Linked DNA regions of Danio rerio. The protein of the gene in region 2 interacts with the protein of the main gene of each other region in a biochemical or structural test. Links are inferred from orthologs where the notes say so. Each region holds a gene or a part of one and is shown on either strand. Other genes may lie near its edges.

The links. The genes of interacting proteins can lie anywhere in the genome.
Region 1: of the proteins of dnmt1 (region 2) and setd7, one has a biochemical effect on the other in vitro, tested with the Homo sapiens proteins (2 studies listed by BioGRID and IntAct, with this or other methods). The link is inferred for Danio rerio from reciprocal best matches to the Homo sapiens genes DNMT1 and SETD7.

What each region holds. Positions count from the first base shown.
Region 1 is NC_133189.1:50,835,559-50,839,510, forward strand, and holds the start of setd7 (histone-lysine N-methyltransferase SETD7), read right to left. Parts: upstream 2,801-3,952; 5' UTR 2,698-2,800; coding exon of another isoform or gene 2,658-2,697; intron 495-2,657; coding exon of another isoform or gene 365-494; intron 1-364. UniProt on the Homo sapiens protein: Histone methyltransferase that specifically monomethylates 'Lys-4' of histone H3. H3 'Lys-4' methylation represents a specific tag for epigenetic transcriptional activation.
Region 2 is NC_133178.1:57,141,882-57,148,264, reverse strand, and holds part of dnmt1 (DNA (cytosine-5)-methyltransferase 1), read left to right. Parts: intron 1-4; coding exon 5-156; intron 157-239; coding exon 240-427; intron 428-815; coding exon of another isoform or gene 816-830; intron 831-1,233; coding exon 1,234-1,414; intron 1,415-1,488; coding exon 1,489-1,586; intron 1,587-3,293; coding exon 3,294-3,444; intron 3,445-3,819; coding exon 3,820-3,935; intron 3,936-4,033; coding exon 4,034-4,232; intron 4,233-4,309; coding exon 4,310-4,443; intron 4,444-4,518; coding exon 4,519-4,698; intron 4,699-4,774; coding exon 4,775-4,999; intron 5,000-5,106; coding exon 5,107-5,299; intron 5,300-5,397; coding exon 5,398-5,488; intron 5,489-5,664; coding exon 5,665-5,796; intron 5,797-6,383. UniProt on the Homo sapiens protein: Methylates CpG residues. Preferentially methylates hemimethylated DNA. Associates with DNA replication sites in S phase maintaining the methylation pattern in the newly synthesized strand, that is essential for epigenetic inheritance.

The sequences.
Region 1 (3,952 bases), on a different chromosome or scaffold from region 2:
CAGAAACAGGCAAAGTTTCAGAGTAGCTACTTGATACTTGAAGCTTGAAAACACAATCAATCATTCTTTGCCATTCAGTCAGCCTTTTAGATGTGGGGGTTTAGCCCTCCTCCCTCCCTAGCACCACATGTTCATGACATTTTTTTTAATCCCAAAAAGTTCAGCACATTTCAGTAGTAAGCTTTCACAAATGTCCACAGCAGATCTAGACCACCAAGATCAAACCTAAAGTCGTATAATATTGACGGTTATCATAATAGAAATAATGGATATGTGGGTCTAATCAACGCTAGTGACAATTATTCCATGATTAAAACAATAATAGACTCAGCTATGGTACCAACATGCACCACAAGTCTCAAACCTGCCATCAAAAAAGAAGAATTTTCCTTTTCCATTCTTCTCGCCATGAACAAAATGTCCTTCAAATCTGTCACTGGAGGAGTAGGTCACAGTGCAGAAACCATGAGGCTGGTCATCCTCATCCAGTGGTCCTAAAAAGTCATGACATCAAAGATAAATAACCAATGTACTCCATATAACTCAACGATAATTTTAATGGACCAAGGCTGCGTTTCCCAAAAGCATCATAACCAGCGAAATTGCTTCAAAAAACAAAATTAAAGTACTAAGTACTATTCTAATTACTAACATAATATTAAAGTTTATACAACAGTTCTGTCTGGTTCTCGAATCTGATTGGCTGATAGCCATGAGACATTAAAGTAACATAAGCACTCATACCGCGTCTTCACCGTTGTGTATTACTCCGCCCACACAAGCGACAAGCAGAGGACTACAGTTTGACAAATATTGCTGCTGTTGGACAACATAACGTACTTTTGAGGCTTTTTAGTGGAGAATGTAGTTGTTTAAACTGCAACTATGCAGTTTATTTATAAGGATAGAGCCTATTTTAAATATTTATAATTTTGGAGATAAAGCACATCAGCATCCATTGGCCTGTCATACTGAGCAGAGCAAAGACGGCTGACGATCCGCCACAAGGTGGCGACACAGACCACATAATAAGCCCTTAAAGGAGAAAAACTCAGCGTAATTTCAATCTACATCTGATCAAATCATCATAAAACAGGTAAGTGACTTTCTAAGTCGATCTCGCTCTTGTATGTTGTAAAGTTAGTGCTGTAATTATATCATAGTCTGGTAGTGTTTGCTTTGCTTTGGCTTTTTTGAGGTTAATTATTGTAAATGCAACAGAAATACTGGGAAATCTCTGTAGACTGATGGCATTTCATGTTGTTCAGCCTTATAATCTCAAAATGTGAGCAAAATCACAAATTTTGTCATCACTTTAAACATTATACAAGAGAATCAATCAAAAACTAGCTCTAAAGTGACGTTTGTGAAGTAGCAACAGTATCTGCTGTTCTGACGTCAGCTGCAGATGTGTAAACAGCAAAAGAAAGTAGTTCCTCATACAAAAGGACTTTAAGACTCTCTTTGTGCGATGTTTATTTTTATATACATTACTTTGCCATCGAACAACGTATAAACGCAATATCACACTTGTAAAAGTGCGATAAAGCTGTATATATTCACTGGTGGGACACTAAGCCCACACCTCCCACCAGTCCCAATATACAGCCATATCGCACTGCTACGAGTGTGATATTGCTCAACTACCACACAAAACTGTAATTTATTTATAATGCAATTGACTTTTTTTATGCAACTCATAGACAAATGTAACCTCTGCCACTGTTTTTGTCTTGATAAAAGCTGTCTTGATAAATGCAACCTTGTTTATTTAAAAAAAAAAAACTATTTTTCTGCAAAATATATCTGAACAAAAAATTATTCTGCTGGTCTTAATAAATTTATACAAAACTAATGATTTATTATGACTATTTATGTGTATTTAGAGCAGGTATATTAGAAGTATTTAAAGTAACCCCTTTACTTTTTTTTTTTTGCAAATAAACAAATTTATTTACAGCAACTAGTTAACTGTAAGGGATTACACCCAACACTGATCATGACTAACAGAGCTAAAACTAACTTAGGCTTGCAACGCTTTTAGGAAACGCAGCCCAGGATAGTAATATCACTTCACTGTACTGTATATTTCACATATAGCAAAAACCTTTCTTTGGTACACCTAGGTTTAATAATATAAGTCCACACAGTTGACACCCATGCAATGTGCAGGTCTGAATTAATCAACTATAGTGTCCACACTACACATTGATAACCACGTGGCTTCAACAACACTAGAATGTAACGTTACACCAAATTATAAATCTAGCACATTTACAGGCCCATTAACACGTTTATATACAGTATACGAAGACATAATAAAACTAGATGTGTTTAACGTTAGATAGAAATCAATTAATTAGTCTTTATTGTCTCTGTTAATAATACTGTACAGTATTTGCGTTCATGGTAGTCCAGAGAAATCGTATTTAAGTAAAAAAGCCCAAATAACACTCGTTTGTCATCTGGAGGATTAAGAAAGGGTCTAGTTTACGGGCCTCGGGTGTTTGACAGCTTGTTTACACAGGAAATCTTGTCGGTAAGCTAATCCTCGACGGAATGAGACTGCATAAAAGTTCAGCCTGACAGCCCAGAAAAACAAGCTTACGCGCGTGCGCGCACACACACTGCGTGGTTTACGAATAAGCTTCTCGTACCTTCCACCACTTCTTCCATGTTGTCATCATCGCTGTCCATGTTTAGCCTTTTCTCAGTTGTGTATTAAAGGAATAACGGCGTGATGTTTATGCCTGTCGCGGAAGCTTCAGAGCTGTCAGTTCTCCGGCGCACAATGTCTGACATCATCAGCCCTGCACTGATTTCTGTTTACGCAAGAGAAGCTGTGCTCTGAGTCGATTCAGCGAATCGGTTCACTTGGACAAATCGCTTTGCCGTCAATCGCTAAACGATTCATTGCTTGGTTGAGTCAGAAATCCAGGGAGATTGTACAAATAAAGCGTAATATTGGCTTTAAAATATATGAACGGAAAATTGCAAATTTTAGGTTTAAGTTTGAATGTATTTCTTCTTCTTTCTTTTAGAATGAATTGTACATTTAAATATGTGTAGTACTCCTGGCATGACTGAGCGCTGCCAACGAGTTTTAACTAACATGTTAGCATGTTTCTAGAATGATTAATCACATTTGACATTAAAACGTTGCTGTTTTTGCAGTTTAACACCGCAAATAGGTTAATTTGGACAATTTGCTTCGCTGTAAATTGCAAAAACAATGCATTATTTGCATTTGTCACAAAGCTAGTAGGGGAAATGAACAAATAAAACTTAATATTGGCTTTAGAATTTATGACAAGAAAATTATGGATTTAAGCTTTATGTGTAAATATTTTTTTCTCTTTCTTTTAATATAATTAATTTAACATTTACTGTTATATGTGTAGCACTCCTGGCATGATTCAGCACTGCTAAGAATGGGTTTTAACCACAGCGGTTTGAACTGTAGTTCTGCCGAGTGACTAAAAAGTTGTCAGCATGATGGTAAAAAACTAAATTTCTAGTCAAACCATTCTTCTGCAATCTCATACCAAAATAAGGAAATAAGGGCAGTATTAATAGCTATAAATGTGGGAGAGCGTTGACATTTTGTGATTGTATTGTATTGCAATATGGAACAATTAAATGTTGATGTTAAATCAAAAGTAATTCACAAACACTTGAATATGAGATGATTTAATGGAAATAAGTTCTCTATGGTTACAACTGAATTAATTACAAAATAACTGTATGAAATGATAAAATATGAAATGACAAAACACATGATATAAATTGTACCCAGCTTAAATGTAAAACTAAAGTTACCAGAGGTAAAAGGAGAGACACAGGGGGGAGAGACAAAGAGAGCAGGCCCAGAAGTTAGCCAGATTGCAGTAGAGTCAGAGAAGATAGACTCCAATGGAGAAGAGGAGCAGAGCAGGAGAGAAGCAGACCAGGA
Region 2 (6,383 bases):
ACAGCGTTTGCTGACTATATCCTAATGGACCCCAGTGAGGAGTACTCTGCTATTTTTGCTCTGATGCAGGAGAAGATCTACATGAGCAAAATTGTGGTTGAATTTCTTCAGAAAAACCAGGATGCCACATATGAGGACCTGCTGAACAAAATAGAGGTACACTTTATGGGAGCATTGAAGTTCTTTGCCACTTGTCCCATTTTAGAAGTTGTGGGATAACCTGTTATTTGTCTTTTTAGACTACTGTCCCGCCCGCGGGGCTCAACTTCAACCGTTTCACAGAAGACACACTCTTGCGCCATGCCCAGTTTGTGGTAGAGCAGGTCGAGAGCTACGATGAGGCTGGAGACTCTGATGAACAACCCATTATAATCACTCCATGTATGCGTGACTTGATCAAGCTGGCTGGTGTTACTTTGGGCAAGAGGTGAGTTTACTAGAATTGGTGGTCTCTTAAATGCCTTCAATGAGATAACTGGGTAATGGTGGGTTCGATATACTGGTACCCAGAAAGCAGACCTCAAACTGTTCTCTTAGCAACTGAAACCAATTTGTTATTTTATCCTGCATGAGGCATGGGCTTCAATATTGTGGACCATCAGGGAGGGCTATCGGTGTTTCTCATAGGACATATAATGTATTCATGTAGCTTAAACCAATTTGTGAATGCGGGAGCTGCTATTTTGGTACTAGATAACAGGTTTGCACAATTTATTTTTTTGCAAGTCTGAAAATTCAGTGACTTAAGATTTTGAGGTTTAGTTGTGGTACCATGTTATTTGTTTCTAATGGTCCTTTAACTTTCTCTAATGCAGCAGGCAGCTGTACTGGTATGTAAATCCTGATGTTTCTGCAGAGTGTGTGGCTTGGTTATTTATATTTCCATATGCTGAACTGCAGTCGCCTGTGTTGGTGGTAAACTGCTTCATTAGCTGAAATGGGTGGGTGAGGAGAACAAAAACATGAGAACTTGTTTATTTATTTTTTTTAAACCTTCCTGACTTGCATGATCTGCATAACAGATGTTAATTTGGCACCCTGTTGTTTAAGTTGTCCATTTGGGAAATCTGAACATCTTTTTTCAGTTTAAATGGGTTTAGTTACTTCAGAGCTGTTTGTCTTAACTCAATCCATTGTGTCTTGTGCATTAAACGCATGGCTCTTTTTTGCTTTTATTTGTGCCCTCTGTATCTTGTTTGCTCTGCTCATGTTTTTTTTTTTTCCCCTGTTCAGGAGAGCAGCCAGAAGACAAGCCGTCCGCCATCCCACTAAGATTGAAAAGGACAACAAGGGCCCGACTAAAGCCACCACCACTAAACTGGTCTACCTGATCTTTGACACATTCTTCTCTGATCAGATTGACCAGAACAATAAGGATGGAGGTGTGAAGAGACAACGGTGTGGTGTCTGTGAGGTTGGTTGTCTGAAAATAGCAGGCACAGTTTAACTGAAATGCAAGCATGATGATTGGCGACCTTGGTATTTCAGGTGTGTCAAGCTCCAGACTGCGGCAAGTGTTCAGCTTGTAAGGATATGATCAAGTTTGGAGGCAGTGGCAGAAGTAAACAAGCCTGTCAGAAGAGGAGGTATGCTTACTGTGCAGTCTTTGCTGTTGCGTAATCATTCTCCTCAGCAGTTTTGTATTTTCCATGTGTTTTAAAGGCCTTTCTTTGCTTTCTCTGTTTTTATATTATAATGATTAACATTTTGAATGAGGCTAAATGTCATTCAACAATTAAGGTTTTTAATAGTTTTTACTATTTATAGTGCCAATTTTGTCTATACTCATGCCATTTTAAATTGGCATTTCATTTACCTAGGCATGTATATTTAATTGATCTCAGATTAAATGTTACAATGATATCTAATTGTCTTAAACAACTTCCTAGTTGTTGACCTTTTAGGCCCCGTTTACACTAGTGCGTTTTAGTATTAAAACATCGTTTTAGAATGAAAACGATCCGCGTCCACACTCGCTTTTTACCCAGCGTTTCTGAACTGCTCTCCGTCCACACCAAAATTCTGAAAACGCACATCACATGACCACACACACACACACACACACACACATTCGGGCCAGCGCTGCAGCCCATCTACCCAGATGAGAGCTGTGCTAGTCGGACTTCTCATCAAGCATCTCCTGCTGGATCTAATCTCACTATATTTATTAAACGTGATATTTCATTCATCTTGTTGTCTTTATCTAACGACATATTCCCTGACTTTGGTCACTAGAATATATTAGCCTACTTGTTCTCAGGTAACGTGTTTTGGCTAAGCGCAAAGATAAGTTAATGATCAATGTAACCACGTAGCCTATTCTGTATTATTGACTGATCGCTTGCCTTTATTTCCTATAATGTATAAAATTATTGTATGTTATATTTTTATAATGGCCATTATCGATTATTAAAACTTATATTCAGCAAAAGAGAGGGTATGTTTCGTATTTTAACTGAAATTGAAAGGAGGCAGTTGTTATCGGCTCCGTTTTGTTATAAATATCCACACAGTGAAGATGACGCTCGCATGCAGCCCGACGCCTCAACATTTCTGCTGTCTGTTAAGTTGCTAATATCAAAATGAAAATAGGCAGTTCCTTAAATCATGTTTACATTTGATTTTATTGTTGAGAAAGTGAAACAACGTAGCCAGGGTGAATGAAGTTATACAGTACACTGTTCTCTTTGAAGATTTACCCGTGTCCTCGGTATAGTCTGTTTTCCATATCAAACTGAGAAGAATAGACTGCAGCCTTGATCAAACTTGCAAAGTCTGAACTTGCAAGGAGAGGATGCAGGACTGAACTGTGTGTGTTAGGCTACTTAATATTGAGGAAAAGCCCCAATCAGAGAAGCGAATGTCTACAGCCCAGCCTCCATTTTCAGATGTCTCCGTTTTTGCTCATCCACACTTAAGACGGAGCACCAGCGTTTCAGAATGAAAACGGCCTCTCCAGCGTTTTCGAAACGCTCTGTTTTCGGCGCTCGAACTCCGGCGTAGTGTGGACAGTTGGCGTAACCGTAGCTAAACTTATGCGTTTTCAAACTAAAACGCATTAGTGTAAACAGGGCCTTAGGCACATCATGAATATATCAACCTTGTGTTGATTGCACAATATTTGGTGACTCCAGGTTTGTTGTTTTGAACTATTAAAGGTCAGAGCACACTTGGTCTCTGAACCAAACAGTAGAATAGCCCTTTTGAGAAGCAGATCCTGTTGGTGATATCGAACTTCATGATTTTGGATTTGTTTGCCAGGTTAAAGCCTAATGTTTGTTTTGTCCATCCAGGTGTCCCAACCTGGCAGTGAAAGAAGCTGAGGATGATGAGAACATGGATGAGGAGGATGTGTTGCCAGTTAAGGATACAAAGAAAATGTCTCAGACCAAGAAGAAGAAACAAACCAAGAACAAAATCAGCTGGGTTGGTGAGCCATTAAAGGTATGCAATCTTTATCTGGCAGCGGACACAATATTTTTTTTTTTTTTTTTTTTTTTTTTTCCAGGACTATGGCCATGTCTACTCAAATGGGTATTTGCAAAACAGTAGATTTTTCTACTTGGTTTGGTCATTGGTCCATAATCCGATGCAGTATTAGGGAAATAAAATCTTAACACTGTAGTCTTCAAATTTTTTAGAAATGGTGTTGTTGTAGCTGGTAAACTCCTTTTTGTTTCATGGCTTTTGCTGTTTTTGCCTTAGTTTGTCAAGTTGTGCTACTAACCCTTTTAGCTTTCATGTGGCTGGAGACTTTTCTCCCCTCCCAAATTTAGAAGACTTTAAATTTTTATTTTTTTTTTGCCGTCATCTTTTCAGACTGAGGGAAAGAAGGAATATTACATGAAAGTGCGTGTGGAAAATGAGGTGTTGGAGGTGGGAGATTGTGTATCTGTAAGCCCTGATGACCCATCACATCCTCTCTACCTGGCCAGGTAAAATTATCAAAGCAATTTCTTTTGTAAAACCAAAAGGTTTAACATGTTTACTAGACTCTCTAATTAGTAAATCATTGGTTTCTTTAAATTTGTAGGATTACAGCTTTGTGGGATGATGGTGAGAAGATGTTTCATGCCCATTGGTTCTGCCGTGGCACTGATACGGTCCTTGGAGAGTCATCAGACCCTCTTGAGCTCTTCCTAGTGGATGAGTGTGAAGACATGCAGCTAAGTTTTATCCATGGCAAGGTCAACGTCTTCTACAAGGCACCATCTGAAAACTGGTATATGGAGGTACATACGCCAAAGTGTGGGCAGTGTTTGTGTTTAACAAACTGGGCAGAGGTTTTAACACTGTTATTGTTTTGAAGGGTGGAATGGATGAAGACATCAAAGTGATTGACGATGATGGTGAAAGCTTCTTTTATCAGCTCCATTATGAAGGTGAATGTGCTCGCTTTGAGACTCCTCCCAAGGTCACACCCTCTGAGGACTGCAAGTATAAGTAAGAGCCCCTTTTGACCTATTTTAATGGGACACCTGTTCTGTATTTGTGCTATAAAATGTTATGTTTCACTAGGTTTTGTGCCAGCTGCACCAGAAACAAAGAACGAGAGGCTGAGTCTGTTCCCCATGCCTATGAGCCCTTAGAGGATGAGGAGAGTGACTCTAAAGTCTTCTATGGGTTGGTGAACTATAAGGGAGAGCAGTACAAAGTAGGGGACAGTGTCTACCTACCACCTGAGGCCTTTAACTTTGTGTAAGCTCTTTATTATTTACTGCCTCAAGGGATTTCTATTTGAGTGGTTTTATTAAATGGACCTCTTGTCTTTTAGAGTAAAGGCTGCAAGCCCGGTGAAGCGTTCCCACAGAAAAGATGACGTTGATGAAGATCTTTACCCTGAATACTACAGGAAGTCCTCTGATTACATTAAAGGCTCAAATCTGGATGCTCCTCAGCCTTTCCGCATTGGGCGCATCAAAGAAATCTTCTGCAACAAGCGCAGCAATGGAAAGCCAGACACCTCAGAGATCAAACTGCGCCTCTATAAATTCTACAGGTAACTCTTTTATTCTCCGGAATGATTCCAACCAGTGCGTCTGATTTTGAGGTTGTACCTTAAGGGAGTTCAATACTATTTTTCTCCCCAAACTTGTTTGCTTTCAGACCTGAAAACACTCACAAGGGACCAAAGGGAGCATATCATTCTGATATAAACCAACTCTACTGGAGTGACGAAGAGGCGACCGTCAGCATGACTGAGGTGCTGACACGCTGTCGTGTTGAGTATGCAGAGGATCTGGTTGAAAGTGTGCAGGACTATTCAAACAAAGGACCCGATCGCTTCTATTTCCTTGAGGTAAGGATAAAATCTGGCTGTAATGGAGCTGCCAATGGTACTCGTAATGCAGCTGAAAATATTTTCTGCCATGACTTACCTAATGGTTCTTTTTGTAGGCATACAATGCCAAAACCAAGAGCTTTGAGGATCCTCCCAATCATGCTAGATCTGCTGTGAATAAGGGCAAAGGGAAAGGAAAGGGCAAAGGTAAGTCAAGTGTAATGTTGAAATAAGTAATGGAAACTTCTAGGTATGCTCTTGTGTTTTTTTTAAGCTAAAAATGGTCCATCGTGGATTCAAGATGGCTTAAATATCTGAACACAATCATAACTGCATGTGGGGAGAAATTGCAGCTTAAATGTTTGTACCATGGTTGTCTGTAGGAAAAGGGAAAGGGAAAGCAGCGCCTCAAGAACCACAGGATCAGGAGCCACAAGAGCCAGTGGTTCCCAAACTGCGCACTCTGGATGTATTCTCTGGCTGTGGTGGTCTGTCTGAGGGCTTCCATCAAGCAGGTTTGGCTTCCATTGAGTCTCTTTATAGAACCATGTTACACAATGTATTATTACTAGGGATGTAACTGTATTGTAAATACCGTCATACCGCAATATTAATTTTTTTTGATATTACCGAAGTCGCACGACTCAGTAAAACTATAGGTCTTCTGAGAAAATTTGCTCAGGCGAATGAAGCGAACGGGAGGTAGCGAAAACTACAATTCCCATCAGCCCATGCTTGACCATCATCCCTTGCGGTCTGTTGTCGCTACAGATCCAGTAATGCGGAAATAGAGTGTGCTGCTAGAAGCGGGGATGAAAAAAGAGCTGGAAAACTCTAAAGCGGGTGTTGTCGCCGCGTGCGTACTTAATAGCGGTGTTGTCGCGCGAGTTCTTATCAGCTGTGTTGTCGCGCGCGTACTGAATAGCGGTGTTGTCAGCACACTGTTCAGATTGATGCAGACATGAGACCTCTATCTTACTCATGGTTTGTCCTCTCAAGTGGGGGAAAGACAATGCACAACGTTACCCACTGCTGTCAACCTGGGCCAAGTCATATCTCTCTTGTCCCAGAAACCTCAGTCCCAAATGAGAGGGTTTTTTTC